7 linked regions of the Callithrix jacchus genome follow. The protein of the gene in region 3 purifies or fractionates together with the protein of the main gene of each other region. This does not show direct contact. Links are inferred from orthologs where the notes say so. Each region holds a gene or a part of one and is shown on either strand. Other genes may lie near its edges. The genes, in order: DKC1, EPC2, RUVBL2, NOPCHAP1, RPAP2, POLR2B and ACTR6.

Evidence for each region.
Region 1: the proteins of RUVBL2 (region 3) and DKC1 purify together in Homo sapiens (affinity purification with mass spectrometry; 5 studies listed by BioGRID and IntAct, counting the BioPlex papers as one, with this or other methods). This does not show direct contact. The link is inferred for Callithrix jacchus from reciprocal best matches to the Homo sapiens genes RUVBL2 and DKC1.
Region 2: the proteins of RUVBL2 (region 3) and EPC2 purify together in Homo sapiens (co-immunoprecipitation; 4 studies listed by BioGRID and IntAct, counting the BioPlex papers as one, with this or other methods). This does not show direct contact. The link is inferred for Callithrix jacchus from reciprocal best matches to the Homo sapiens genes RUVBL2 and EPC2.
Region 4: the proteins of RUVBL2 (region 3) and NOPCHAP1 purify together in Homo sapiens (affinity purification with mass spectrometry; 4 studies listed by BioGRID and IntAct, with this or other methods). This does not show direct contact. The link is inferred for Callithrix jacchus from reciprocal best matches to the Homo sapiens genes RUVBL2 and NOPCHAP1.
Region 5: the proteins of RUVBL2 (region 3) and RPAP2 purify together in Homo sapiens (affinity purification with mass spectrometry; 3 studies listed by BioGRID and IntAct, with this or other methods). This does not show direct contact. The link is inferred for Callithrix jacchus from reciprocal best matches to the Homo sapiens genes RUVBL2 and RPAP2.
Region 6: the proteins of RUVBL2 (region 3) and POLR2B purify together in Homo sapiens (affinity purification with mass spectrometry; 3 studies listed by BioGRID and IntAct, with this or other methods). This does not show direct contact. The link is inferred for Callithrix jacchus from reciprocal best matches to the Homo sapiens genes RUVBL2 and POLR2B.
Region 7: the proteins of RUVBL2 (region 3) and ACTR6 purify together in Homo sapiens (co-immunoprecipitation; 7 studies listed by BioGRID and IntAct, counting the BioPlex papers as one, with this or other methods). This does not show direct contact. The link is inferred for Callithrix jacchus from reciprocal best matches to the Homo sapiens genes RUVBL2 and ACTR6.

What each region holds. Positions count from the first base shown.
Region 1 is NC_133524.1:150,505,886-150,510,447, reverse strand, and holds the start of DKC1 (H/ACA ribonucleoprotein complex subunit DKC1), read right to left. Parts: upstream 2,913-4,562; 5' UTR 2,782-2,912; coding exon 2,766-2,781; intron 774-2,765; coding exon 706-773; intron 237-705; coding exon 150-236; intron 1-149.
Region 2 is NC_133507.1:81,638,655-81,642,612, forward strand, and holds part of EPC2 (enhancer of polycomb homolog 2), read right to left. Parts: intron 2,945-3,958; coding exon 2,796-2,944; intron 2,046-2,795; coding exon 1,913-2,045; intron 1-1,912. UniProt on the Homo sapiens protein: May play a role in transcription or DNA repair.
Region 3 is NC_133523.1:42,858,109-42,862,066, reverse strand, and holds part of RUVBL2 (ruvB-like 2), read right to left. Parts: intron 3,459-3,958; coding exon 3,403-3,458; intron 2,074-3,402; coding exon 1,932-2,073; intron 1-1,931. UniProt on the Homo sapiens protein: Possesses single-stranded DNA-stimulated ATPase and ATP-dependent DNA helicase (5' to 3') activity; hexamerization is thought to be critical for ATP hydrolysis and adjacent subunits in the ring-like structure contribute to the ATPase activity.
Region 4 is NC_133510.1:107,923,175-107,927,132, reverse strand, and holds part of NOPCHAP1 (NOP protein chaperone 1), read right to left. Parts: intron 887-3,958; coding exon 750-886; intron 1-749. UniProt on the Homo sapiens protein: Client-loading PAQosome/R2TP complex cofactor that selects NOP58 to promote box C/D small nucleolar ribonucleoprotein (snoRNP) assembly. Acts as a bridge between NOP58 and the R2TP complex via RUVBL1:RUVBL2.
Region 5 is NC_133508.1:130,052,759-130,056,716, reverse strand, and holds part of RPAP2 (putative RNA polymerase II subunit B1 CTD phosphatase RPAP2), read right to left. Parts: coding exon 3,153-3,958; intron 1-3,152.
Region 6 is NC_133504.1:139,815,639-139,820,267, reverse strand, and holds the start of POLR2B (DNA-directed RNA polymerase II subunit RPB2), read left to right. Parts: upstream 1-1,371; 5' UTR 1,372-1,470; coding exon 1,471-1,489; intron 1,490-4,629. Other genes in the region: NOA1 (nitric oxide-associated protein 1), read right to left, coding at 1-81. UniProt on the Homo sapiens protein: Catalytic core component of RNA polymerase II (Pol II), a DNA-dependent RNA polymerase which synthesizes mRNA precursors and many functional non-coding RNAs using the four ribonucleoside triphosphates as substrates.
Region 7 is NC_133510.1:103,342,956-103,346,913, reverse strand, and holds part of ACTR6 (actin-related protein 6), read right to left. Parts: intron 2,036-3,958; coding exon 1,897-2,035; intron 1-1,896. UniProt on the Homo sapiens protein: Required for formation and/or maintenance of proper nucleolar structure and function. Plays a dual role in the regulation of ribosomal DNA (rDNA) transcription.

The sequences.
Region 1 (4,562 bases), on a different chromosome or scaffold from region 3:
ACAGTGTTGAGTGTATTGCAATTTGTTTTAAACTTGGTTCTTCATTTCAGATACCTTAAGGAACCCTGCTTTAAACACTATCAGTTGTTTAACACTTGGAAATAACATAAAAGCAGACATTCACCTGATGCCTGATCTTAACCACATACCTTTAGCAAAAGGGGCCACTGAGACGTGTCCAACTTAGCAACTTTGGATTCAGGTTTGATAAGAAATTCTTCAACGTGTTGTATTTCCTTCCACAGAAGAGAAATATAACCTATTAGACTTCCCACCCGATTTTGAATAATTCCATTGCTACCACGGAAATGTGTGCCTTTTAAATAGAAAGTAAGGCTTTCTATGCCTTTTCAGTGGGACCTCCAGGGGAAAGAGAAGAAATGAACCAGGAGTACAGAGGGGAAGTGAAATGCCACTAAGATGGGTCCAAAAATTTAAAGAGAAAGGGGGATAGTGGGTCTGTGGGTGGGATAAGGAAGAGAAATTCAGAGACAGCAGTTGGGAAGCCCAGCACCATTTAGTAAGCTATGCCTGAAGGAGACTTGGACTGTCTGGGGCTGTCATATCAGTACTTTTTCAAATCTACACAATGACCACCAATCCTGGCCCATTCTTGGAAACCTTTAAAACACTTCTTTCCTTTAGTTTGTTATTTAAGTAAACCTTCTTTTTAGTCAAAGTGAAGTCAAACACATTACTACTCACGGCTACATCTTCTTCTGGCAATGACTTCCGCTCCTTTTTCTTCTTATGTTTCTTTGGTAAAATAATCACTAAAAAAAAAAACAAACACAGGATTTGAGAATTTTCCCCAAGAATAAATGAGCATGAGTTTAAAATAAAAACCAAAATTAGGGGTAGGAAATGGATCTTAGGTCTACAATTACAGTCACATGCCACATAATGTTTTGTTCAAGGACAGACTGCAAATGTGACGGTGGCCTCCATAAGATTATAACAGAGCTGAAAAATTCCTGTCTCCTAGTGATGTCTTAATGATCCTGACCTGTGTACGTCAAGGCTACTGTGTGTGTTTGTGTCTTATTTAACAAAAAAAAAAAATGTAAAAACAAAAAAAAAGTAGAAGAGTTATAAATAAGGATATAAACAGAGAAAATAATTATGTACAACTGAATAATGTGTTTAAGCTAGGTGTTATTACAAGGGTTGAAGGAAATAGTTTATAAAGTTACAGTAAGCTAAGGCTGATTTATTCTGAAGAAAAATATATTTTTATAGAGGAGGGACAGCGGGGGGTGGGGAGTTGGGGAGAGATAGCATGGGGAGAAATGCCAGATATAGGTGAAGGGGAGGAAGGAAGCAAATCACACTACCACGTGTGTACCTATGCAACAATCTTGCATGTTCTTCACATGTACCCCAAAACCTAAAATGCAATAAAAAAAAAGAAAAATATATTTTTATAAATTTAGTGTAGCCTAAGTGTACAGACTTTATAAAGTCTCCAGTAGTGTAATGTCTGAGGCCTTCACATTCAGTCACTGACTCAACCAAAGCAACTTCCAGCCCAGCAAGCTCCATTTATGGCAAGTGCTCTCCTCTACGGGTGCACCACTTTTAACCTTGTGTACTATATATGCATACACATTTGAGATGCAGTTTCACTCTTGTTGCCCAGGCTGGAGTGCAGTGGTACAATCTTGGCTCACTGTAACCTGTCTCCCAGGTTCCAACGACTCTCCTGCCTCAGCCTCCCCAAGTAGCAGGGATTACAGGCATACGCCACCATGCCCAACTAACGTTTGTATTTTTAGTAGAGACAGGGTTTCACAATGCTGGCCAGGCTGGTGTCGAACTCCTGACCTCAGGTGATCGGCCTGCCTAGGGCTCCCAAAGTACTGGGATTACAGGCATGAGCCACCATGCCCAGCCCTGTACTATATTTTTACTGTCCTTTTTCCGCTTAGACATGTTTAAATACACATCGTCTCGACACTGTGCTCCAACTGCCTATAACATTCCCCACAGTACCATGCCGTGCAGGTTTGGAGCCTAGAGCAATAGGCTCACCATATACAGCCAGGTGTGTAGTGGCCTATGCCATCTCGGTTTGTGTAAGAGCACTCCGACGTTCCCACAACGATGAAATTGCCTAACGACCCATTTCTCAGAAAGTATATCCGTAGGTCAGCGAGAAAACAAAGTGTGTAAGGCCAAATATATGGGTCGCATGGCTGGGTAACTGCCTTCCGGTTCACCACGTGGCTATGGCAGGGCTTAAACATCCCACAGAAGCGCTCACGCAGGGGACCCGACAGTTCCATAAGCGACCACTCGACTCTCCCCGCCAGCTTGTGGCCTCTAGAAGTTTCTTGCAACTCGGAGCTATGTCTGCTCACGGGTCCCCCGGCTCCTTTTCTTCTCGGCCCGTTTCCACCACCCTTGCTCCCATCGTCGCATGGAGCTATACTGGCGGCGTCCGGGCTAGCAGCAGCACAAACGCTGCCACGTCCCCCGCCACCACGGGGTGGGCAGCACGACAGATGTCTTACGACGAAAACCCGGACCCCAGGGAGGCTTGTCATCGGTGAGAGGCCCGAGCCCCGCCATACCAAGTCACCGCGAGGGACTCCCACTCCCGCCGTCGCCATCGAGCCAGGGCCGAGCGACAAGGCCGGTCGGCTAAGAGGCCGACGCGCCGGCGGGAATCAGAGGGAGGTGGGCGCGGGCCCGTATACCATCCCCCATTCCCGGCTCCCCGAGTCGCCTGGAGTTAGCATAGTCCGGACGCCTGCAGCCCTTACCTTCCGCATCCGCCATGTTACCCTGCACCGCGTGCGTACCGCCTGGTCCACGGCCCGCAGAACTACCGCAGACTCCCGCCGCCACAGTCCAGTGAGGCCGCGCTGCTAGGCCTGCCCCTCCGCGCACAACCCTGTGCGTGCCTCGCCGCGGAGCGGGAGGGGGCGGGGCCTTTCCCGGGGCGACCCGAGGCGCTCGGGCGCGCGGATCTTCCGCGCAATGCGATTGGCTGGCTCAGCCAGGGTCGCGCCACCGCGCCTGCGCCTCGAGCCTCTACCAGCCCGATTAGCCCCGGCTGGAAGCGCTAGTGCCGCCCTCCCCGGCAGCCCGGAGTCTGTGGGCGTGTCCCCAGCTGTCGTTGGTTTACCTCCGGGTTTACCTCCGCGCCTGCGCCTGGGCTCACGGCTGAGCGCTGCGTAGTCGGTAGCTCTTTGCTTTCTGACACTGACTCTCTCAGCTTGGTGTCGGATTAGTCCTGATTCAAAAGTGAACATGTTGAGGCTCGGAGAGATTGAAAGCCTTTTGCTGCTTGCAGTTCCCATCCAGCTAGAGCGGATGGCCACTAGGAGCAGAGCATGAGCCACATGTTGACTTTTTCTAGCAGCTACATGGAAGAAGAGTGAAAAGAAAAGGGTGAAATTGATTTTAATAATGAATTTTTTTAACCCAGCGTATCCGAAATATTATCATTTCCGCATATAGGCAAAACACAACTGCATGAATGGGATATTTTGCTTTTTTTTTTTTTTTTTTTGGTCCCCACAAGGTCTTTCCGGTGTGTGTGTGTTTACTGTCACAGCACACCTCAATTGGAACTCTACGACCAGGCTTCACGCCAAACAGCAGAGACAAAGCACTGGCACTAAATCTCATAGAAACAGGATGAGCCTGGGTATCATGATAGGCAGCAAGGCTGGAAGCTGGAACCAAACTGATTTCTCCCCAGGGATCTTTGGTGCTGTCTAATTGATCGTGGTGTCCTATAGTAAGCCATCATGATCTGTATAACCCCTGTAACGCTAGATCTGGCTAAAGGCATCCTGTCTTGAATCACCACAATGGAAAATCATGGTGCCTCATCTAATTCCCAGATCTAGACAGTCCACAGGCCAGAGCCTGTGAGGTAAGCCTGTAAAAGTGAGGCCAGGCACATGTGTGTAGTTTAAGCCTGCCTCCTACTTTACCCTGGGACCCATGGACATTTACCAGAGACTTGCACAAGCTCGTGTTAATCCCTGGGGAAGTAGAATGCCACTGTCAGAAGTGGAGTCAGCCCATGTCCCTTTCACTCTCAGCCACCCTGTGGCTCTCTCCCCACTTCTTGAATCCATACTTAGAATAAACACAATTGGTGGCTGGAAAAATTCCCACAGGGGCTTCCTGACTCAAGGACTGAGGGTGATAAATGAAGGAAAGATCAAAGGAAGCCTCTGCACATTATCATAATTGAGTCCCTGGGAACTGATTTGATCATCTCACTGTACCCCCAGACATCATGTTGATGCATAGGAAGTGGCAAATGTCTCACCACAAGGTGAGAGATAAGCCCCTTGAAAATTCAGGGAGGTGACACCTCAGTGAACTTTCTGGGCATCCAGTGGGCTGAGACATGTTGAGATGGTCCCTCCAAAGAGAAAGACAGGTTGCCTTACCTGGAACCCTCTGCTTGCTAAAAAAGAAGCACAATACTCAGTGGGCCATTTTCTGGAGATGGCATAACCTATTAGTATGCTACACAGAGCCTTTTCCACGCCTTAGTAAGAGACTCACAGTTCAGCCCTCTGGAATTTGAAATAAAC
Region 2 (3,958 bases), on a different chromosome or scaffold from region 3:
AAAAGTAAGATGTGAGTGATTTTTTGGATTGCTCTATTATGTAATCCAGTATTTAAAAGGTATTTAAATTCAATTCTTATTTAAATCTACTATATTGACAAAATTAACAACTATTTTTATTTTTAAAAATCTTCAATTGGACCATGACTTTATTAAGTTATTTTTACACTTAGTTCCAATTTTTTAAAACGTCTGTTCTATGGATGGCAACCTTTTGAGAAAAACAAGCTTAACTAGGAAAAAAGCCCTCACTTTTTAGAATGTATAATTACTGCAGCAACTGAACAATAACTGTTCTGAAGTTCCCCAGGCTTCTGTGGAGGTTCCTGAGAGGCCATCTGGCAAAGACACTGACTGAAGGGGTAGGTTTCCAGCTCCCACCTCCCCTCAACAGAGCAGCTCTGTTACTGTTTTAACACACTGGCATTCCTTTTAATAAAAAGGGATCCGCCACTTTAAAAGTTGGAAAAGACTGTTCTAAGCACCAAGGTACAAACTACAAAATTTATACATTTCCACATGTAGTCCAGATGTTAACTACTTTAGGGTCAAAAACCGTACACACAATAAAAATATTGCTTGTAAGGCAAATTATAGTGAGATATAAAATTTTTCATACAATGGGTGTAACTATTACATCAAAAAGACAGTCCCAACTTTCAGAAACTTCCCATATTTTAAAGTGGGATATGTCATAAAGTAAACATAGTTATTAAACATGTGTGATGGAGTAGGACAACAATGGATGCAACCAAATCCCTAAAGTTAGTATTTAGGTGGGCTGAATGTTTATTCATAGAGGAGATCTAAAATAAGAATTAATATATAATAAGGGCTGATTCAGTCAGTAATTATGGGTTAAGATTTTCATATTGCAATGCTTAATAATCACATACCCAGGAAAAGCATTGATTGACATAAAATGGATTTTTAAAAATAATTTACAAAATGACATTTGCATTAACTTTTTTGGCTATAGAGGCAAGTGAGATTTAGAGAGAATAATGATGGTGGGCTAGATGCCTGTGATTAATAAGAAAGAACTCTGGTGTTTGAATTGACATGAACTGAATGAAGGAATCTTCCTGCTCCACACTCTTTCTTGACCTTTAAGAATCAACCCAAGAAGAATGAGAACTGTGTACATTTTCAAAAGATGAATTTTCCACAAACACCCTAGGTCATTTAAAAAAATCTTGCTACAGAGTAAGGCTCTATTGTCTAGAGGCTTCAGTCAATACTTGTTTCTTATTTAAATCTACGCTCCTCAAAATTGAAGGCTTTATTAGTTATTCTATTTCCCAATTAAATACTTGAATTAATATACCAAGTGAGGACTGAATAAATATAGTTATCTAGTCCAAGTGACTAAAATAACCACTGAGTCTGGCTCTTTTATTAAGAATAAACTGTGACCCAGAAATTAAAGGACTTTCTCAAAGTCACTCAAGGTAGGTAACAATTGATAAATGCTGGCTCTGGAAATGACAACAAGAACGGTTTTCAATAGTCTCAATGAATAAAGCTTTAATTTGAGGTGCTGATTCCTTCCATTACAATGTAAGGTTTGCTAAGCTTAGTGATAATAACTAGACTTTAATTACCCTTATTCTCTAGGGAGGCAGATAGCATACTGAAAGTGATGAACTGTTAGACCTGAACTGAAACCTTGAATCTGCCACTTACTAGCCATATCTAGAAGTCACAAAGACACAACTACCTCTAAGGGTTGTTATGAGGATTAATGGATCAGAATGTGTACAAATACTCCTAGCAAAGTACTGGGCAAATGTTAAGAACTAAATTCATGTTAACTGCTTTTTCCTTACTCAAACCATATTAAGACAACTGCAGAAATCAATAATTATCTGATCAACATTACCATACATGCTTCTTCCCAGACAATATTCACCTTAGTTTTACATTCTTGAGCTTTGTGATGATTTCCATTATGAAGAGTTGCTGGAGTGGCATATAACTCTTTCTCTGATCTACTGATTTTCACTTCATTAAGAATTTCACCCCCATAGTCTCCCAAATGATATCTTGAAAAAAAATAACAAAATATAAGAAAACATTGCATAGTTTAATAATAAAGAAGGAAAATAAATGATACCTCCATTAGTTGGAAGGCACCTAGTCAAAAAGAGCTAACAATCAAATTATTTTTAAAAGACAAAATTTACAGGAATAAACAACCAGAGATTTAGTAAAAACAAAACAAACCAAAAAACTAAAAAAAAAAAATCTAAGGTACACAGAAAATAAATTTCTTACATACATTATATAATCAGTCACTGAGAAATGTTTGGAATGCTTACTTCAGGAATCACACAAAATTCTGTTTTAGTTTAGTTATTTTTAATTTTGTAGGAAAATACATTAGAGAACACATTTCTAAAAGGAATAAAAAAGTCTATCTACTCAGAAAATAAAATCAATACTCATTTCCCTTAGATTTTATTTAATAGAAACTATAATACAGAGAGGTAAACAAAATGATCACCAGAGTTCTTTTCTAAATAAAATTCAGTGATTCTGCAAAACAAAATTAAGAATAGGATCTATAGTATATAAAAACTCTCCCAAAGTCTGCAATCTAAATTGAATAACTTAATCTATAAAAAGAAAAAAACAACCTAGTAACCACAAATCTTTAAAAAATATAAATTCTTACAGAATCAATATCAACTGTCATAAAGTTTAACCTGCCCCCCGCCCAAAAATCTTCTGGTTCATTTTGTCCATCACTTGGTAAAGCTGCCACTTTATTGCTGTAACAGGAGCAATGTTACCTTTTCTCCACAACTTCTAAGGTTAAGTGCAATAATTCTCGTTTTGTTTTCTCTCTTCTCTTAATCATTTCCAAAATTGTTATGGCTCTACTAAATTCTCGTCTCAGTTTCAACATCTTTTCATAAGAGGCTTCATCATTCTTACGATTCTATTAAAAATAATGATAATTTTAGAAGTTATCTACATTTCTGGCTTTATTCAACAAACTCTTATCAGACCTGAATTTATTCTATAAAAGTAAAATGTTAAAAAAAATCTGAACAGCACCTGTATAAGAGAATCTGTATCTATTTTAATTCTGAAAATACAAGTATAAACAAGTATCTCTCAATAAATACTCAGAAAAAAAAAATGCTTCCAGCTGTTGAAAAGGTGGAATGGCATAAAGAGATAATTTCAATGTCAACAAATTTTTAAAATGTCCACCTGAAACAAAACCTGGTATTGGAAAATGTAGTACATTCATTTAGAGGAAGGTATTTTTCCAATAACAGAGAGGAACAGTTTTGTCCAGATCAAGGTAACAGTTAAAATGAGTCCCCATCCATTCATCCATCCATCCAGCTCTGTAATTGGGGGCTGGATGGTTTGATACGCTGTACTATAATGTGAACATGAACAATGACCAGTAAAGCTTCACTTCAGAAACTCAGAAAACTGAGAGTAGCATAACAAGCATTTCAAGACATCAAATTATCATTTTTCAATGTAATGTAACACCCCATTGCTGAGTAGAAAAGAGATTTAGTAAAAATACTGAATTTCAGAACACTGTTTATTAGCTTTTCAACTAATTATACAAAGTGAAAGCCCTGCTACATAACTAGAAAAGGCTCAGTCATAATTAACAGCATCTATTTGCATAAAAATTATTACTAATACAAACTATTTGGTGATATCAAACATCCACAGATTCCTTACTTTAGTATTAGACATGAAACTTTTTGTTTAAAAATAGACCTCTACTACCCTTCCAATCTATGCATCCAGAGTGAATTGTACACTTAAGCAATCATTCATTCCTTGAGTTAATAATTCAAAATGACATTAGAAAGAACCTAAAGAATACCAGTGGTTTCATATGGGAGGATTATAAAAGAGAAAATAACAATTGAGAAAAATTCAAAGTTATACTCTTTTTGTGTATAGTTTCCTGCATTTG
Region 3 (3,958 bases):
TCTGTAATCCCAGCTACTTGGGAGTCTGAGGCAGGAGGATGACTTGAACCCGGGAGGCGGAGGTAGCAGTGAGCAAAGATCATGCCACTGCACTCCAGCCTGGGCAACAGAGCGAAACTGTCTCAAAAAAACAAAACAAAAACGTCAGGCACCATGGGCCACCTTAGGAGGCCGAGGCAGGCAGATCACAAGGTCAAGAGATCAAGACCATCCTGACAAACATGGTGAAACTCCGTCTCTACTAAAAATACAAAAATTAGCCAAGCGTGGTGGTGTGTGCCTGTAGTCCCAGCTGCTCGGGAGGCTGAGGCAGGTGAATCACTTGAACCTGGGAGGCGGAGGTTGCGGTGAGCCAAGATTGCACCACTGCACTTCCAGCCTGGTGAAAAAGCAAGACTCTGTCTCTAAGTAAATAAATAAATAAATACGATGAGGAAAAGACAAAGGATGGAGGGATGCAGGGAGGGAAGGCACTGTGTGTGCCGCATTCTGGGCCTAGACGTGCTGCACCCCGTGTCTGCCCTGGAGCCTCCTGGGCATCCCACTAGGATTAGCTCAGGTATCCGCTTTTCTGGAAGCCTCTCCCGACAAATGCCACCACATGTTCTGTTTTCCTGCCGAGGTCGGGAGCCTCCTCTGTCCTGTGCTACCTCCATTGTAACACATGTCACCTTGGAAGGGATCGTGTCCATGACCGCCTCCTCCAGACCAGGAGCTCTTTGAATTCAGGCCTTGGTCTAACTCATCTGTGGGTACCTGGTGTCCAGTCCGAGGCCCGGCGCCCCAGGGCGCCCCAGAAGACACTGCTTTACCCTCACTGAACACCCACCTGGTTGTTACTCTGATTCTCCCTGCCTGGCCCCAGCCGCAGCACAGAGGTGGGAGTGGGTGGGCAGAGAGGTGGGTTAGGAAAAGCCTCAGTGAGGCAGAGATGCTGAAGTCGTCGGTCTGGAAGGACGAATAGCTGTTCAACACGGAAGATGAGGAAGAGCTGGGAGTGAAAAGACCATAAGCCACTAGCGGACTGCAACAGGCTGCTGGGTGGCTACTCCACGCCCGCCTTCCCCTGCTTCCTTAGTTCCAGAACCCTCATTTTCTTTGTTTTTTTATTTTTTTTGGAGACAGAGTCTTGCTCTGTTGCCCAGGCTGGAATGCAGTGGTGTGATCTCGGCTCACTGCAACCTTCACCTCCTGGATTCAAGCGATTCTCCCTGCCTCCGCCTCCCAAATAGCTGGGATTATAGGCATCTGCCACCACACCAGGCTAATTTTTGTATTTTCAGTAGAGACAGGGTTTTGCCATGTTAGCCAGGCTGGTCTCAGGTGATCCACCTGCCTCAGCCTCCCCAAGTGCTGGGATCAGAGGCATGAGCCACCACACCCGGCCTAATTTTTAAATTTTTACAACTGCCTCTTGTCCAACAGAAGAATCCTCATTTTCTTTAGGCAAAAATGGTTCAAATTATGAAATCAACAAGAAATGTAATGTCCCAGCCTCCCTTGAAGCAGAGCGTGACCATGAGATTAGTTCCAGTCAATGAGAGACAAGCAGACGCATGGAAGACCTCCAAGGTGACTGGTTAAAGGAAGCCGTCGAGGGGGTTTACCCTCATGACAACTTTCTTCCTGCTGCCTGGATCGTGGTGGGAAGGCTGGAGCCTAGGCAGCCCTCTTGGAACACAACATCCTCTTGACACTGGAACCAAGTGCAGAGGATGATGAGGCAGGAAGATGGAAGACTTCCTGGGACTGCTTAGTAAGCTCCAAATGGCCTCCCTCTATATTCTTCCATGGAAGAGAATGAAGCCTGAGTGTTTAAGCCACTGCTATTTTGGGTCATCTGTTAAATGCGGGTGATCCTGACCCTGACTTACACAGGAGGGGTTATCGAGCAGAGGCCACGGGAGTTCCGGCCCTGGGAGGTTTCTTACCCATGGCGATGGCTGTCTTCCCTGTGCCCGGCTGGCCAGCAATAAGAACTGCCCGCCCGGCAATCTTCCCTTCCCGGATCATCTCCAGCACCACACCTGCTGCCCGCCGTGCCGCCAGCTGACCCACCATGCCCTGGGAAGCCTGTGGGTGGGACACAGCACATGAGGTGACTTCCTGCTGGGCTACACATCATTTCTACCACATCTTGGCTAAAGAGATGGAAGCAGTCATTACTAGCTGGGACTTCCAGGAAAAGCCAAAACAGCTTTCTCCGCTTTTTTTTTTTCTGAGACAGGGTCTCACTCTGTCATCCAGGCTGAAGTACAGTGGTACGATCATACAGTCACGGCTCACTGCAGCCTCAACCTCTAGGGATCAAAAGATCCTCTGACTTTAGTTCAGCCTCCTGAGTAGCTGGGACCACAAGTGTGTGCCACAATGTCCAGCTATTTTAAAAATATTTTATAGAGACAGGGTCTCACTATTTTGCCCAGGCTGGCCTCAAACTCCTAGGCTCAAGTGATCTTCCCGCCTCAGCCTCCCAAAGTGCTGGGATTACAAGCGTGACCACTGCATGAAGCCTGATTTTTTTTTAAGGTGGCAAAACCATGGCTGCCCAATCCCAACTCTTTTTTTTTTCCTTTGTGATGGAGTCTCACTCTGTCACCCAGGCTGGAGTGCAGTGGCATGATCTCAGCTCACTACAGCCTCCACCTCCTGGGTTCAAGTGATCCTCCTGCCTCAGCCTCCCGAGTAGCTGGGATTACAGGCATGCACCACCACATCTGGCTAATTTTTGTATTTTTAGTAAAGATGGGGTTTCTCCACGTTGGCCAGGCTGGTCTCGAACTCTGACCCCAGGTGATCAGCCTGCCTCAGCCTCCCAAAGTGCTGGGATTACAGGCATGAGCCACTGTGCCCAGCCTACCCAATTCTTTAGTACCAAGAAAACCCACATGTGGCTGAAGTTTATGGATACGCAGGCAAAGGTCTGGAAGACCGTAACATAGTCCCCACACTCCCCAGGGCCCTGGTGCCCACTACCCAAGACCTTCGTGGAGAGGCCCTCACACCCCAGACCTTCGTGGAGAGGCCCTCACACCCAAGACCTTCGTGGAGAGGCCCTCACACCCCAGACCTTCGTGGAGAGGCCCTCACACCCCAGACCTTCGTGGAGAGGCCCTCACACCCCAGACCTTCGTGGAGAGGCCCTCACACCCCAGACCTTCGTGGAGAGGCCCTCACACCCCAGACCTTCGTGGAGAGGCCCTCACACCCCAGACCTTCGTGGAGAGGCCCTCACACCCCAGACCTTCGTGGAGAGGCCCTCACACCCCAGACCTTCGTGGAGAGGCCCTCACACCCCAGACCTTCGTGGAGAGGCCCTCACACCCCAGACCTTCGTGGAGAGGCCCTCACACCCCAGACCTTCGTGGAGAGGCCCTCACACCCCAGCCTCCTCTGCTCTACCTGCCGAGGCTCCAAGGCATCGTCCAGCCCCAGCCCCCGGATGTGGGAGTGAGCACCTGTATGCAGGGAGAGAACAGAGACTCAGTTAGTCAGCTTGCTGCACGTGTGGCCTGACACCTCTGAGTCCTGGTTTCCTTTTTGGTCAAAGGGGTGGGTGGGAGTAGGGAGCAGGGGCTTGGGGAAATGAAGGGGCACAGGGAAGGATTTCCCAAATGGCCACCTCACTAAGAAGATGGCTGAATGTGCTAAATGCTCAGTGAACTGGAGTTGCTCTGAGGATGCATCCTAGTTAAACCAAAGTCACTGAGACCTGATTAATCACATAAGAGTACCAAGAACTAACCACAAGGGCTAATGATCACAAGTACTCTGTGTTTATGGCTCACACAGCACACACAGGTTCTCATTTCACTCCATATCACCCTGTAGGACAAGAGCCCTGTCCGAGGCCGGGCGTGGTGGCTCAGGCCTGTAATCCCATTCCAGCACTTTGGGAGCTGAGGCAGGTGGATCAACGGAGGCCAGGAGTTCCAGACCAGCCTGGCCAACATGGTAA
Region 4 (3,958 bases), on a different chromosome or scaffold from region 3:
TGGGGTTTAGGGATCTCTGAGACAGAGAAGTACAGGCAGAATCATATGGGCCCTTTGAAGGACTTCGTTTATTTGAAACGTGATGGGAAGCCCCCAGGTCCCAAACTGTGTGAAGAACAGACTCTGGGGAAGAAACAGTGAAAGCAGGAAATCCTGCTAGGAAATTGCTGCAATAGTCCAAAGGAGAGACCATAATTACCTGGACCAACAAAGGTCCATATGAACAGTGGCGGTTGTACAAAGTGACTGGAGTTGGGATATATTCTGGAGGTAGAGCTGACCAGACTGACTAATGAATTACATATTATTCACAACTGTCTCAGCTCTGTCCAGGCAGAGATATTATAAAGAGAATTCCAGTGCAGAAACAAGAGATGAGTATAAACGAGAGAACATTTTTACACAGAGCCTATGTAATCAATTGCTCTCTTCCACACATCATTTATTTTTATATACTGAATAAATCAGACTATAACTACCTCTTTTGGAGCTTGGACAGAAAAAAATCCAGTTAGGACATTTAGCAAATTAATGCTTCAGAATAACAAATGTAATATTTGACTTGGGGAAAAAAAAAACCCTCCTATGACATATGACTAAATCATAAAATGACTATGTACCTATACAACATTCGAAACATGAGCTAACACCAGGAAAATGACACTTGAAAATAAAATGGAAAAGTTCTCTCTTCTTCTCAGGTAGCAAGGTGAACTAGTAATTTCACCATATGAAAACAAAGCAGTTACCATTTGTATAACTTTGCCATGAGTCCCATCAATGTTTTCAATGTTGAAACGACCAGGTGGTGCAGCTGCCATTTCTTTTCTTAGCTTTTCATTTGCCTGTGCCATCTGTGGGAGAAAGGTCTGTACCTGATCCAACACTGTGGAAAGTAAATACAGTATATCAACATTTATGCCAGTAAATTCTGAAACTCAGGATTTCCTATAAACACTTCTGAATTGAGTACTAATAATAACAACCATAATTATATATCTTTTAATTCCCTTCTTTGAAAAACCCTTCATCCTCTTCTGAATAAAGCAGTAGGACAATACAATTCAGCAAAAAATTGTTTTCAAATGTTTTTATGTTTCTCATATATCCCCAGGACCGTAAACTCTTAGAAGGCTGGCATTCAACAAACAGTAACTAAATAGGGAGGCAGTGTGGCTTAACAGTTAAGAGTACCAGGTTCTGAGGTTTTAGAGTAAGACTGACTAGGTTATATATAGAATCCTAGTTCTACCTCTATCTGAATTACCTTGGGCCTGCTAATTAAGTAGTGGTTATTTCTGCCTACCCAACATCTGTTCCCTTTCTTCTGATCATATAACCCCGGCTTTCCTTTTAAGCTTGTGTCACTTTTAGTCACTCTTGTCCCTCACCCCATACATGCCTACATCCTCCATATCCTTAGTCACTGTAATGTGCTTTAGTGGCATACCAGTGACACAACGCTCTAGTCGGGCCAATAAGTTAACTCAGGGCCTTTTGTTGATCTGTTGAGAGAGAAATCTTGCTGAATGACTGACTGAGTTGCTGAATATAAGGCTGAAGCTCCTGATAAACTGGCAACTTGCCACACCTGAGATAAGAGCATGCCCTAGATTAGGTCAACACTAGGAAAGCAGAAATAAGAGACAGAGTGGCTGATCCCTGAGGACTTTGAGCACCTAGATCCAGATGTACCTGAAATCACCACCCCTGGAGTTTTTTTCCCCAATAAAAACAGCCAACATAATTTCTTTTTTTTTTTTTTTTTGCTTAAGGCTATCTGAGCTGGATTTTAGTCATTTGCAACCAAGAGTCCTAATTAATACATTTAATTATTTAATTTTACCACTTGAAACCTAATCTATAAAAGAGGAGTGATAATTGTCAGCCATTGTGCCAAGTACAGAGCAATCAATGAACTAAGGATATTTATTTATTTTTCTCTCTCGAAAGAGGCCCAGCACATAACCATGCATATAACAGGCTCTCAAAACTTATGTCAGTGCTATGGCTACATAATAGATGACTAAAATGTCCAGAGTATGGAAGAAGAAATAAAGTGGTGGTCAAGGTCAAGTAGATGACCTTTATTTGTAAAATAAGGTGCTGGAAGGACTCCCCAAGAGCATGTTCACAAACAAAGCCCTACACAATAGTGAAGGGTAGCTCTTATTCCCCTTCAGAGAGACAGAGAAATTACTGATAAAAATAAAGTTATTTCTCTGTCCTCAGATTTAAATCTATTGCTAGAGATAGAAAATCTGGTTCTGTTTTGTTTCCAACTAATGAATCAAGTAGAGCAAAACAAGAACCAAAATGTGTGGCCTGAACCGTGATTCTCAGAAGCCAAATATTTCCATGGTACTCTTGGAGAGTATATGCTGAACCCTGAGGCTAGTCCAGTTGTAGTTCTTCTAAATTAAATAAAATCCATCATACAAACCATAAGATTCAAAATGTCCAGCATCTAATAAAAAATTACCAAACATGCAAATAGATAGGAAAACCAAATACATAAAGAGTAGGGGAAAAAAATAGAAATAGATTCAGAAATGATACAGACAGAATCAGCAATAAGAATGTTAAAACTGCTCTTACAAATATGCTCTATATGTTTAAGGAAGAAAAGCAAAGCACAAACCCAAGGAAAGAAACAGAAGATGTAAACATCTCAAACTTCTAGAGATGGAAACTGTATCTATCTTGAAAAAACATATTTGATGGAATTAACAGATTAGACAATATAGAAGAACAGTGAACTCAAGAAAATCAGCAATAGAATCTATCCAAATTGAAACACATAACATGCAATACCCAATCAACGAGCTGTGGGGCAACTTTAACTGGCAAAATTAGGTGTAATTGGAGTCCCTTTGGGAGAGGCAAAGCAGGCACGACGGGAGCAACAACAACATAATCTCTAAAAAGTTCCCCAAATTTGATAAAGATTATAAACTCATAGATCCAGTATGTTCAACAAACCCAAGCTCAAGACGCACAAAGAAAACTACAAAGGGCACCTCACCATAAAATTGGTAAAAGCCAGTGATGAAGAGAATCTTAGAGGCAGCCAGAGGAAAAAGGAAACACCATATTCATGACACAAAATGACAGTAGACACTGGCATCAGAAACAATGCCACTGAAAAGACATCTTTAAAGTACTAGAAAAAAAAGAAAAAGCAAAACACCACACTGTCAACCTAGAATTCTAAATCCATTATAGCATCTTCCAAAAACTGAAAACAAAATAAAGACTTCCTCAGAAACACAAAGGCTGGTAAGTCTATTGTTGGCAGAGCCGCACTATTACGAATGATGTTTACCATAAGAACCTGATTTTTTTAAATGCATTCAAGATTTGAACAGGCACTTCAAAAAGATGCACAAATAGTGACACATGAAAAGATGCTCAACATTATTAATCATTAGAAACAAATTAAGATTACAACGTGATACCACTATATCTGCACTAGAATAGCTAAAATTAAAAAGACCATACCACATTTTGATTAGGATGTGTAGCATATAAACTCTCATACCTTGCTGGCGGAAATGCAAAATGGCAATTTCTTCTTCATAAAAAAGAATTTTACACCTTCCATATACCTGCAATCCCACTCCTAAGTATGTAACCCCTCAAAACAAAAACCTATATCCACAAAAACTGATTTTTGGATGGACAGCCACCATGAGGTCATTTTAGCTATTATGGATTTACTGCTACAGAAATAATGCTAAGGTTAAATTCCCCTTTCAGAGTACTCATGATTTCTTAGTTTATTGATGTGACACCTTCACGCTTATTTACATAAGTTTTCATTGAATTCTTGTCTTTTTTTTTTTTTAACATTAAGAGTGAATTACACGGTGGCTCACGCCTGTAATCCCAGCACTTTGGGAGGCCGAGGTGGGTGGATCACGAGGTCAAGAGATCGAGACCATCCTGGTCAACATGG
Region 5 (3,958 bases), on a different chromosome or scaffold from region 3:
AGGTCCAAAGCAGTGGAACAAGACAAGGAAAAGAAATAGTGGGAATAACAATTGGAATGTAAAAAACCAAAACTGTTATTCACATAAGACATGGCCACATATGTAAAATATCCAAATGAATCTATAAATTATTAGAATTGATAATTTAATTATTGTAAATTATTATAATTCATAATCTAGGTAAGTTTAGCAAGGTTACTGGCTACAAGGTTAATGCAGACAAAAATTAATTGATTTTCTACATAAATATCAGTTAGAAAAAAATTTTTTAAATGACATCACTTTCTAAAGCATATAAAAACCCAAATACCTAGGAATAAATGCAATGAAATATGTTTAAGACCTCTACACAGAGAACTATGAAATGTTATTGAGCAGACTTTAAACATAGCTATTCTACTAGATATTAAAATTTTATAGTCATGTGTCACTTAGCAACAAGGATGCATTCTAAGAAATGTGTTGTTAGGCGATTTTGTCATTGTGCAAATATAGAGTGTACTTACACAAACTGAGATGGTACTACACACCTAGGCTATATGGTATAGCCCATTGCTGTTAAGTACAAACTTGGGTGGTATGTTGCTGTATTGAATACTGTAGGCAACTGTAACACAATGGCAATTATTTGTATCTAAACACAGAAAAGGCAATAGTAAAAATGTATTATAACAGTCTTATGGGATCATCATTGTATATATGGACCATTGTTGACTGAAATGTTGTTATGCAGTATGTGACTATATATAGCTACTATAATTAGGCAGCATGGTATTAGCCCAGAGATAGATACATAGACAAATTAACCCACACATTTATAAAAATATGATTTATGACAAGGGCCACACTACAGAACAGGGATAAGAGAATCTTTTTAATACATGGTGCTGGGTAAATTGGATATCTATATGGGAAAACATGAAATCTGACCCATACTCCTTGCCATAATCAAAAATCAATCCCAGATGAGTTACAGATCTAAATGTGAAGGGAAAAACCACAAAGCTTTTAGAAGATAAAATAATCTGGACTAAGTAAAGATTTACTATAGAAGTACTGAAGGGAACAATTAATAAACTGGACTCAAGACACTATTAAAAAGATTGAAAGGTCAAGTCTTAGAGTAGAAGATAATATTTGCAACACATATAACTGAAAAAGGACTTTAATCCTGAATATATAAAGAAGCCCTACAAATCATTTTTTAAACCTCCCAGATATTCCAACAGATAAATAGAAAAAAGACTTGAATAGGTACTTCAAAAAAGAGACTATCCAAGTAGTCAATAAGCAAATAAAATAGTGCTGAATTCATTAGTCATCACAGAAATGTATTATAATCACAAAGCAATATTACTGGGATGGCTAAAACTAACAATATCAAGTACTAGGGAGGACGTGGAGTCAAGAAAACTCCCATATAGTAGTAGCAGAACTGTAAACTGGTACAACCACTTTGGAAAACTGTTTGGCATTATCTAGTATAGCTGCATACATGCAAATATAATAACCTACCATTCCCAGTCCTAGATACTTCAGAAATACATATGCATATTAGCAGAGATAAATACAAGAAAGTTCATAAGAATATTGTTCATAATAGCCCCAAATTCGAAATAGTCTAAATGTCCATTAGCATAAATAAATGGTGTATTTATATAATGGAATACTATGCAGCAATAAGAGAATGAACTACAGCTCTATGCAACAACACATATGACTTGAAGGTATAATATTGCATGAAATAAATTGGACGCCAAGAATATATACTGTCAAAAAAACTGACAGAACTAATCTGTGCTAATATAATATTAATTTTGAAAAGAGGTACTGATTAGGAGGGGATATATATGGGGATTCTAGTTTACTTGTAATGATCTATTTCTTGGCTTGGGTAGTGATTACATCAGTATATTCATATGTGAAAATTCAAGAAATCATATACTTACTATTTGTGTTATACCTCAGTGAAAATGTTTTAAAGTGTTACATAATATTTTTGGAAAATGTTATAAATTTACAAAAAAAATTTCAGGGATTATTTTTTCCCTTTTAAGGCTAAAATGCACAAAATGATAAAATAAGTGATATTCTATGGTGGGTTTATGCACCTCAGTGACAATGATCAATGCTTCTCCCAGCTTAATACAAGTTTCGGATGATGTCTAATAATATACTTGAAACGATTTGAAGTAAGGTGCTGGGCCAAGCAACACTCTATAGAAATACAAGACATTTTTAAATCTTTTGCTATATTTCTTCTTCTACCCTCTTTCCAAATCTCCAATGTGCGTTTAAATTGAGAGCCATAATTACTTAGCAATTTTTGAGAATAAAGTTTTGTGGTAAAAACAAGGTTACTGCCCATTTCACTTCATGTTAAATGACTTCATTTTCCAGGGAGTACACATCAGTCAAAAATGGGTAGTAGAAATACTAAATCTCTGTGGCACATTTTCAATCTCTACATATGGGTACTATTTATTGAGTGTCAGTTATATGTCATGTACTATGATAAACGCTTTACAAACATTATCTTTAAAATGAATAACAATTGAGCAAGAGAAGCTATTAATAGTCCCATTTACAGATGAGCAAACAAAGCAAGAAACTAATTTTTCAACAGCTAGTAAATGACAAAACAGATGTTCAAATCTAGGTCTATCTGAATGTGCTTTCCATTCTCTTTGTCCATTCTTTCCCAATAAGTCTCTTTTACAAATTATTTTCATCTATAATATTTTAAATGGGCATGCTTGCTAAATATTTTCCAATGTAACTAGCAAGTCTATTCCATAGCATATACTTCCATTAAACATACACACACACACCCATGTATAAATCTGAAAGAATACATACCGAAGAAGAAAAAACAAGCCTCTTCAGAGGCTTCATTTCTTATTTGTAGAATTAGGGAAAACTTTGTCCCACCATTTTAGGATATTTTTACATTAGAAAAAAATTGCACATTATCTATAAAATAGTAATGCCAACAATGGAGATGGCACTGTAAACCAAAAGGCAGAATGACTAAAGAAACTATTTGAAAATTTAACAATTATCTCTTCAATATCCCTCCTTATCCAGGATTTGCTGTGGTGAGTTTTCCAAATGTTAATGACCTGGAAAAACTCAATGCCTGTAAGACATACCTCTTCTGAGTCTTGTGATTTGGTGGTTTCTTCATCCAAAACATACCGTCCTCTATAAAACTCCCTGATCCTCAGATTTAACTTTTCAGTTTCTTTTTTCAAGTTCTCGTAACTTGGCAGTGGTTTAATGGCTGTATCTGAGCCCATAAAAGGTAAAGACTCATCCAAGCTGTTCTGAGATTCCCTCCAGGCAAGCGAATGACTATGTGGATCTGAGATTATGTCATCTTCATCAAGTTCTTCTTTAACCAGAGAGGCTTCGGGTTTCAGACACACAGAAGCATAATTCTGGCCATACAAAAACCTCAAAGTTTCTTCTGTCTTCCACTCAATCAAAGTCTCCTTCAAAATTTTAAGTAAGTTTCTCTTTCCAACTTCAGGACACACCTGCACTGAACCAGATACTGACCTAGACACTTGGTTTGATTTGGCAAATTTTCTCTTAAAATGCTCCACACTTTTCTTACTTATGCCTACTAGAGTTATTTCTGACCTACTGTATTTACTTTCAGAATTTTCTGAAGCTTTTAATCTTTCAGGCAAAGTACTATTTGGAGAATTCTCAGTATTTACTTTCTGTAAGGGAAGTTCACCTGTAGCAGCTTTCTCCTGACTATCTAATTTGCAATTGCCTAACTGCTCAGTGACATCTACTACTGTCTGTTCTTTGTGTATGGAGTTAGCTTTGTGACCAGCCTTCTTTTTCATTATGCTTTTCTGGTGCAGCTGTGGTCTAATACTTGTTGAATTTGGTCTGTTTCCTGGTAGAATGGAGGAAACAAAGTCTTGCTCATTATCACTGCTAC
Region 6 (4,629 bases), on a different chromosome or scaffold from region 3:
GAGGCCATGGAGCGCGGCCGTGGGAACGGATCCACGCAGGAAAGGGCTCAAGAGCCTGAACGTTAGGCGCGCAGGCAGCATGAGGAAGTAGCTCCAGGCGAAGGGGCGGAGCCACAAGCTCGCGCGCTCACTAGGCCCCGAGGCGCGCGAGACCCGAGACTAAAGCGCGTGGGTACTTGGGAGGTGTCTTGGTTCTTCTCCTGTCTAATCCCGTGTGTTCTCGCGATTAAAGCGCTGAGACTGAGAACCTAGTTAAAGCTGCCGCAAAGGCACCGGAGGGTTAAGCTAGGTGGGCGGAAGAGATCTGCGTGTGCTTTGGGTTTTTCACTTTCTTTTTTTTTTGAGACGGAGTTTCGCTGTTGTTACCCAGACTGGAGTGCAATGGCACGATCTCGGCTCACCGCAACGTCTGCCGTCTGGGTTCAAGCAATTCTATTGCCTCAGCCTCCCGAGTAGCTGGGACTACAGGTGCGCACCACCATGCCCAGCTAATTTTTGTATTTTTAGTAGAGACAGGGTTTCACCTTGTTGACCAGGATGGTCTCGATCTCTTGACCTCGTGATCCACCCGCCTCGGCCTCCCAAAGTGCAGGGATTATAGGCGTGAGCCACCGCGCCCGGCCGGTTTTTCACTTTCCACCATCTTTAACGCCTCACTGCTATCACAAGCAGCCCTTAATAAATCACATTTAAAAACGAGCTTCCGGCCGGGCGCGTGGCTCACGTCTGTCAGCACTTGGAGAGGCCGAGGCGGGTGGATCACCTCAGGTCAGCAGTTCGAGACCAGCCCGGCCAACATGGTGAAAGCCCCGTCTCTACTAAAAATACAAAAATTAGCTGGGCATGGTGGCGCGCGCCTGTAATCCCAGCTACCTGGGAGGCAGAGACAGGAGAATCGCTTGAACCTGGGAGGCAGAAGTTGCAGTGAGCGAAGATCACTCCACTGCACTCCAGTCTGGGCAACAGAACGAGACTCCGTTTCAAAAATTAAATAAATAAAAATAAAACATAGCTTCGTGTTGTTTTGGTCCTTAAAAAGGCAAATAAATTTAACATCCCAATGTCGCGGATTCACAGAACGAACACTTTTTATTAATAACTATACTTGGTTTTGTTTTCAGCTGTCGTTATTTGTGCAACAACATTAAAAAACAAGCAGAAATAAAACATTCACGGGACGGATCCGACCGCAGATTGCGAGAGCTGTCTTTTCAATCAGCCACCAACAGCGGCGGCACACAATTTGCGCGTAGGCAACTCTAATGCCCGCCCCAGCGCGCCCTACACTTTGCGCAGGCGCAGATCCTAACTTTGGCGTCCTTGTGGGCGGCCTTCGTGTGAGACGCATAGTATTCTGGGAACGCTGGAGACGGAAGTTAATTCGTCTATAGCTCCAGACGCTGGTGGCTTCTGTGCGCTCTTTTGTCTTTTCGGTTTCTAGAGTTAGGAACTCGGGAATCTTTTGGCAGTATGTACGACGCGGATGAGGGTAGGTGAACACTCAAAACACACGCCATGGCGGTCCATTTAAGCAGGGAAGCGTGGGGAAGTGGTCGGATGGAGGATTTGGGGCCTTCCCACGCGCCGGCCGCGTGGTCCCCAGCCTTGTTACCATACTTTCCACGCCGGGAACGAAACTAGGCTAGGGAGGGGCAGAGGGTGCAGGGAACATAGCATTAATGTTGCTGATTAGGTTCACTGCTGCTCTCTGCCCTTTCTCGTTCCGTTAGATCTAATCCCCGCCTCCTGTATTGTAGTAGCGTGCAGAACCGTAAGATAAATTCCGTTGTTTTGAATTTGTCTGAAGCAAAGGGCACCCTTTAAAAATTATCCTAAAAGCCACAGTCGATTTACTGAATAGCTCAATTGATGTCAGCATGTGCAAGGCAATGCGGAAGGCCCTGGAAATACACCGGGACAGACTATCGGAGGAGGGGGGTGGGGGGCGAAACGGTTTAGTCTCACATTTCTTCATGCTTTTTGTAAGTGAAATTGTCTTAAAGGATGGCCTTTAACCTTCTTCTCACAATGCCACAGTTCTCAGATGATATATATTCTGTTGCACCGGACCAGTGTATAGCTTTTTCTTTGCGCATATAGATTTCTTAGTAGTGGCTGAGTGCAATGGCTCACCCCAGCACTTTGGGAGGCCGAGGCGCGCCGATTGCTTGAGACCAGCCTGACCAACATGGGGGAAATCCCATATCTACTAAAAATAGAAAAATTAGCTGAGTGTGGTGGCCTGCGCCTGGATTCCCGTCTACTCAGGAGGCTGAGACCGGAGGATCACTTGAACCCAGGAGGCGGAGGTTGCAGTGACCCGAGATTGCACCACTGCACTCCAGCCTGAGTGACACCCATCTCAAAAAAAAAAAAAAATTCTTAGTCGAGTCTAGTGTATTTTCGTAGCTGCCTTTTCCATAGCTGCCTTTTCCATTCTCCGTATCTACTAATTCAAACCTTATTTTCTTCTAGCTCTTAATTCTGTGGCTACCCCTTACATCTCTATTTCCTCAGCTACTTCTGATAAATTAGATGGAAAAAATTGAAGCAAAAGCTTAAACTTTTTTTTTCTTTTGAGACTCAGTCTAGCTCTAGGCTGGAGTGCAGTGGCACGATCTTGGCTCTTTGCAACCTCCGCCTCCTGGGTTCAAGCGATTCTCCTGCCTCAGCCTCCCGAGTAGCTGGGATTACAGGTCCCCACCACCACACCCAGTTTATTTTTGTACTTTTAGTAGAAGAGAGGGGTTTCACTCTGTTGGCCAGGCTGGTCTCGAACTCCTGATCTTGTGATCTGCCCACCTCAGCCTCCCAAAGTGCTGGGATTACAAGTGTGCGCTACCTCGCCTCTTTTTTTTTTTTTTTTTTTTTAAAAGAGATGGGGTCTAGCCATGTTGCCCAGGCTGGTCTCAAATTCCTGAGATCAAGCCATCCGCCTGACTTGACCTCCCAAAATGCAGGGATTACAGGCATGAGCCACTGTCCCTGCCCAAAAGCTTAAACTTTTAAAGCTGTTTAAACTTCTTTCTCATTAATATCTTGTGTTCCAGAAATGTATTAGCATCATCATATTCCCTGTTAACTACTCTCTCAGTAGAAGAAAAATAGAAAAAAAGATTTTTTAAAGCATAATTTTTGGCTAGGTAATATATTCTCATAGCTCACAAACCAGAAAATTTAAAAATGTTAAAATACGGTGGCTACTTTAACAACTGAGACCAGCCTGGGCAACACGGGAGACCCCCCTCTCTGTAAAAAATTAGCTAGAGTGTGGTGGTGCTCACCTATAGTCCCAGCTACTTGGGTGGCTGAGGCAGGAGGATCACTTGAGCTTGGGAAGTTGACACTGCTGTAAGTTGAGGACAAAGTGAGACCGTCTCCAAAAAAAAAAAAAAAAAAGTTAAAAGTGTTAGGTCTCCTTCTTATCTACCATCTGCCCAGTTGACCACAGTAGGCAACTAGTGTTATAATAGGTTCTTATCACTCCACAGTTTCTTTTTGTTTTTTGACAGAGTATTGCTCTGTACCCAGGCTTGAGTGCAGTAGTGCAATCTTGGCTTACTAACCATTGCCTCCCTGGTTCAATCAGTTCTCCTGTCTCAGCCTCCCAGGTAGCTGGAATTACAGGCGTGCACCACCATGCCCAGCTAATTTTTGTACATTTAGTAGAGATGGGGTTTCTCCTTGTTGGCTAGGCTGATCTCAAACTCCTGACCTCAGTGATTCACCTGCCTCGGCCTCCCAAAGTGCTGGGATTACAGGTCTGAGGCGTTGGCGCACAGCCTCTACAGTTTCTTTATGCATATTTAAGCAAATATAAATGGGATTGTTTTCTTTTTTTAAGGACAGAAAGTAACGTTTACACTTTACTCCACTTTTAGATTTTGCTTAATGGAGATGTTCTTGTCAGTACACAGAGAGCATCACTTGCTGCCGCCCCTGCCTCCGCCCCCAGCTAAATAGTTTGTGTGGATGTAACTTTAGTGTCTTGATGGATATTTGATTTGATTTATTTCTAGTCTTTTTCCGTTAAAACAGTACTGAGAGTGAATAATCTTGTACATATAATTTGCCCAAATATGTCTTTAGGATACATTCCTACATATAAAATTGTCAGGTCAGATGATACGCACCTTTAAGATTTTGCTAAATGGTGGCAAGTGACCACCACAGTGGTGACTGTTCTAATTTTGTATTCTTATTGGTCATGTATAATGATCCTGTGGGAAAACAAGAGTTAATCAGAGTTGCTTTAGCAGTGAAGCTACATTTTATTTGTGCCCATGTCATCTAAAATGTTTATTAGGTATGTCCTCATCAGTTTTTAGCGACTCCTTTTCAGCTGGCTTCTTTCTATGTGAAAGTGTTGGATTTCTGTCATCCACATGGAAACAAGTTAAACTTTTTTTTTTTTTTTTTTTGAGACAGAGTTTTGCTCTTGTTGCCCAGGCTGGAGTGTAATGGCGTGATCTCGGCACGGTGTGATCTCAACTCACCGCAACCTCCACCTCCGGGGTTCAAGCCATTACTCCTGCTTCAGACTCCCGAGGAGCTGGGATTACAGGCATGTGCCATCACACCCAGCTAAATTAAAAAAATTTTTTTTAATAGAGATGGGATTTCTTCATG
Region 7 (3,958 bases), on a different chromosome or scaffold from region 3:
TCTGCCTCTACAGAAAAAAATAAGATTTCTTTTCTTTCTTTCTTTTTTTTTTTTTGAGATAGGGTCACATGCTATTGCCTAGGCTGGAGCGCAGTGGTGCAATCCTAACTCACTGTAACCTCAAACTCCTGGACTCAAGCGATCTCTCTACCTTGGCCACCCAAAGTGGTCGGATTACAGGCGTGGTCCACCAAACCTGGCCAATAAATGTTTCTTTATTGTATTTATTACATTTGCATTATGCTTTTATAAAAATGGATTTATATATAAGTATACATATAAAAAAGCAGTAGATATACAATAAACATTTATTTAATAAATTAATAAGACCTATTTCTGTGGATCCCTTGGCCTGTAATCGATGCATGCAAGATAAGGATCCAATATGCTTTCTACTCTTGAGAACATAAAAACATTAATGGTGATAAAAATCATCCAATAGTTTAAAATTGTTTATTCATTTATCTCACAGCTGTAAAATAAAGTGATATCAATGAGAGCCTTCTATTAAATTCTACTAATTTTGGAAAATTCTACTTTAGCTTTAAAACAAAACTGTAGAATTAAGAGTCAGATATGTGGGGTCTTGTTTGCAACTCTGCCACTAACACTAGGGGTGGGTTTTTTTGACATGTATTTTAGTAAGAAGTCCTCACTGAAGGTAAGAAAACTGGGTTTTAATCTGATCATTGCTATTAACTCACCATAAAGCATTTGCCAACTCATGAGCTCCTGTTTCTATATTTATAAAATAAGAATATTGAATAGGATGAGCTATAAACCTTCCTTAGAGCTATAAAACTCTACTTTCATTTTTTTGTTTTTTTTGGGGGTTTTGTTTTTTGAGACAGGGTCTCGCTCTGTCACCTAGGCTGGCATACAGTCGTACAATCTAGCTCACTCCAACCTCTACCTCCTGGGCTCAAATGATCCTCCTACCTCAGCCTCCTGAGTAGCTGGGACTAATGGTGCACACCAGCACATCTGGCTAATTCTTCGGTAGAGACAAGGTTTCGCCATGTTGCCCAGGCTAGTCTCAAATTCCTAAGCTCAAGTGATCTGCCTGCCTCAGTCTCCCAAAGTGCTGAGATTAAAGGTGAGAACCATTGTGTCTGGCCCTACCTTAGTTTATTTTAACCACTAAAGTGGAAGTGATGAGATGCACTTTTTCTCATAACAGGGTATGGGTTAGATGTAAAACAATTCTGAATTTTAAAAAACTCATTAGTAAAAGTCATTTAAAATATTTAAATTTTTTAAAATTCTGAAACAACTTATGAATTGATAAAATGTATCACAATGGTTCGATTATTAAATTTCTATTCTTGACAGAACTGTCAAGAAATAATACATCTCAGATAAATCACATAGACAATAACTTGATTGCTTTGCCTATAAAAACCTCTTAGGATCAAGGCTGACTTACTACATGGGAGTAATCACCCCATATGTTTATTTTTTTATTTTTTTGAGACGGAGTTTCGCTCTTGTTACCCAGGCTGGAGTGCAATGGCGCGATCTCGGCTCACCGCAACCTCCGCCTCCTGGGTTCAGGCAATTCTCCTGCCTCAGCCTCCCGAGTAGCTGGGACTACAGGCACGCGCCACCATGCCCAGCTAGTTTTTTTACTTTTAGTGGAGACGGGGTTTCACCATGCCGACCAGGATGGTCCCATTGTGTACAATACATAATGACTGGCACTGTACATACTTCTATCCCATTTAATTTAGTGAAATGTAAGGTTTATCATTTTAATTTTTGAAAGAAGAAAAATGAATATTCAGCAGGTGAAATAAACCAGCCACCATGGGAGAGCCAGGCTTTAAACTCAAGTCAACATACTGCCTTTTCTACACGCTGACTTCCATGTTTGTTTCTATATAAAACAACACTTACTTTTCAGGCAGCACAACAGAAACATCATAGTCTGTTGGAGTAAGACATCGAACTTCTGAGTAAACCCGATCCCTAAATCCTGGGAAAAGGGAGTTTCCTCCTGTCAAGACAATGTTCTTAAAAAAATGTGGCTGCATTTCTTTAAAAGAAGAAATGAAGAAAGAAATGAAAAAAGGCGTTAGAAAATCTGTTTACTTTTTTGAAACGATGTGGATGAGGGATCAGATAAGCAATTAAGGATTATAGTTACTGCTGGGAAACCAAATACATTTTCAGGTCGACTCTAAGATTTGTAATGAGGTTACAGTTTATACAAGTGAAGACATTAAACAGTGAAATATGACTTCACAGATCTTTAAAAGTTAAGGTGAGGAGGGTGAACTACTGGCTACTTATTGTACACTCATGTAAGCCATATATAAGTGTTACTATAGTAACAAAGAGTTGATAATTATAATCATTCTTCTCTAAAATGGGGGGGAGGGGTCTTGCTATGGGCTGAGACTGTAAGCTACCATAAGGATGAAACCAAGGTGTTTCATGACATTTGAACTTACAAGTCCCAATCTCCATATTATCTCACTGAGGCAAACGTATGTTATGCAATACTTACCTTTGATAGTTAAAAACATTCATAATCTTTTTTTTTTTTTGAGACAGAGTTTCGCTCTTGTTACCCAGGCTGGAGTGCGATGGCACGATCTTGGCTCAACGCAAACTCCGCCTCCTGGGTTCAGGCAATTCTCCTGCCTCAGCCTCCTGAGTAGCTGGGATTACAGGCACGCGCCACCATGCCCAGCTAATTTTTTGTATCTTTAGTAGAGACGGGGTTTCACCATGTTGACCAGGATGGTCTCGATATCTTGACCTTATGATCCACCCGCCTCGGCCTCCCAAAGTGCTGGGATTACAGGCTTGAGCCACCGCACCCAGCCACATTCATAATCTTTGTTTAAACAAGGGATCTAAGCATGAACACTCATTAAAGTTACATAATAGCAAATGTTAAGTATCAAAAGCCAACAAAACATCACTGGGAAATCCATCAGGAATTAACAGGTACCAGCCATCCCACCTAATGTTTCTGTTCACCAAAACAAGGGCAGAGTTTCCTTATAGTGACTTTAAGTCTCACTCTACCATGACATTAAAGCAGTGTAGTACAAAATGTTGTAACATCATGACTGCAACTTTATATAAAATGTGAAATATCAAAACAGCTGTGAAATAATTATGTAAGGATAGCAGTATGTTTTTCTTTCTTTCTTTTTTTTCAATGAGAGGAAAGCACATGGCCTGTGCTAGATTTTCTCCAATGCCTACTTCTTGTGAACTAGGGAGATACTAAAGTACTCTAAAACTCTAGAACATTATTTACTTAAGGCATGAAATCACTATGAAGCATCATATTCCAATCTCTTTAATATTAATCCTGTATGTTAGTCTAAATATAACAGAAATTATAAGTCAATCCATCAATAGCTGAAAACCATTAAACTGTTAAATTATAAATTTCTATTCTATACAGATCTGGATTAAATTAAAACTTTTCTAAAATGGATATGGCAATTTAATACTCATGGAGAGATATGTTTCTTCAAGTTTAAATGGACCATAATGATTTTTCCTCTGTCAAATTTATAATCACAAGAAAAGATAAAAGAAAAAAAACTTATAATCAAAGATGAATCAATAATTTTTTTTTTTTTTGAGACGGAGTTTCACTGTTGTTACCCAGACTGGAGTGCAATGGCACGATCTCGGCTCACCGCAACCTCCGCCTTCTGGGTTCAAGCAATTCTCCTGCCTTAGCCTCCTGAGTAGCTGGGACTACAGGCGCACACCACCATGCCCAGCTAATTTTTGTATCTTTAGTAGAGACGGGGTTTCACCTTGTTGACCAGGATGGTCTCAATCTCTTGACCTCGTGATCCACCCGCCTCGGCCTCCCAAAGTGCTGGGATTATAGGCGTGAGCCACTGTGCCCGGCCAAATCAATAATTATTTAAGTGTATTATGGGATCTAGAAATCTCTGCAAATAAAACAGACTCACCAATTTGC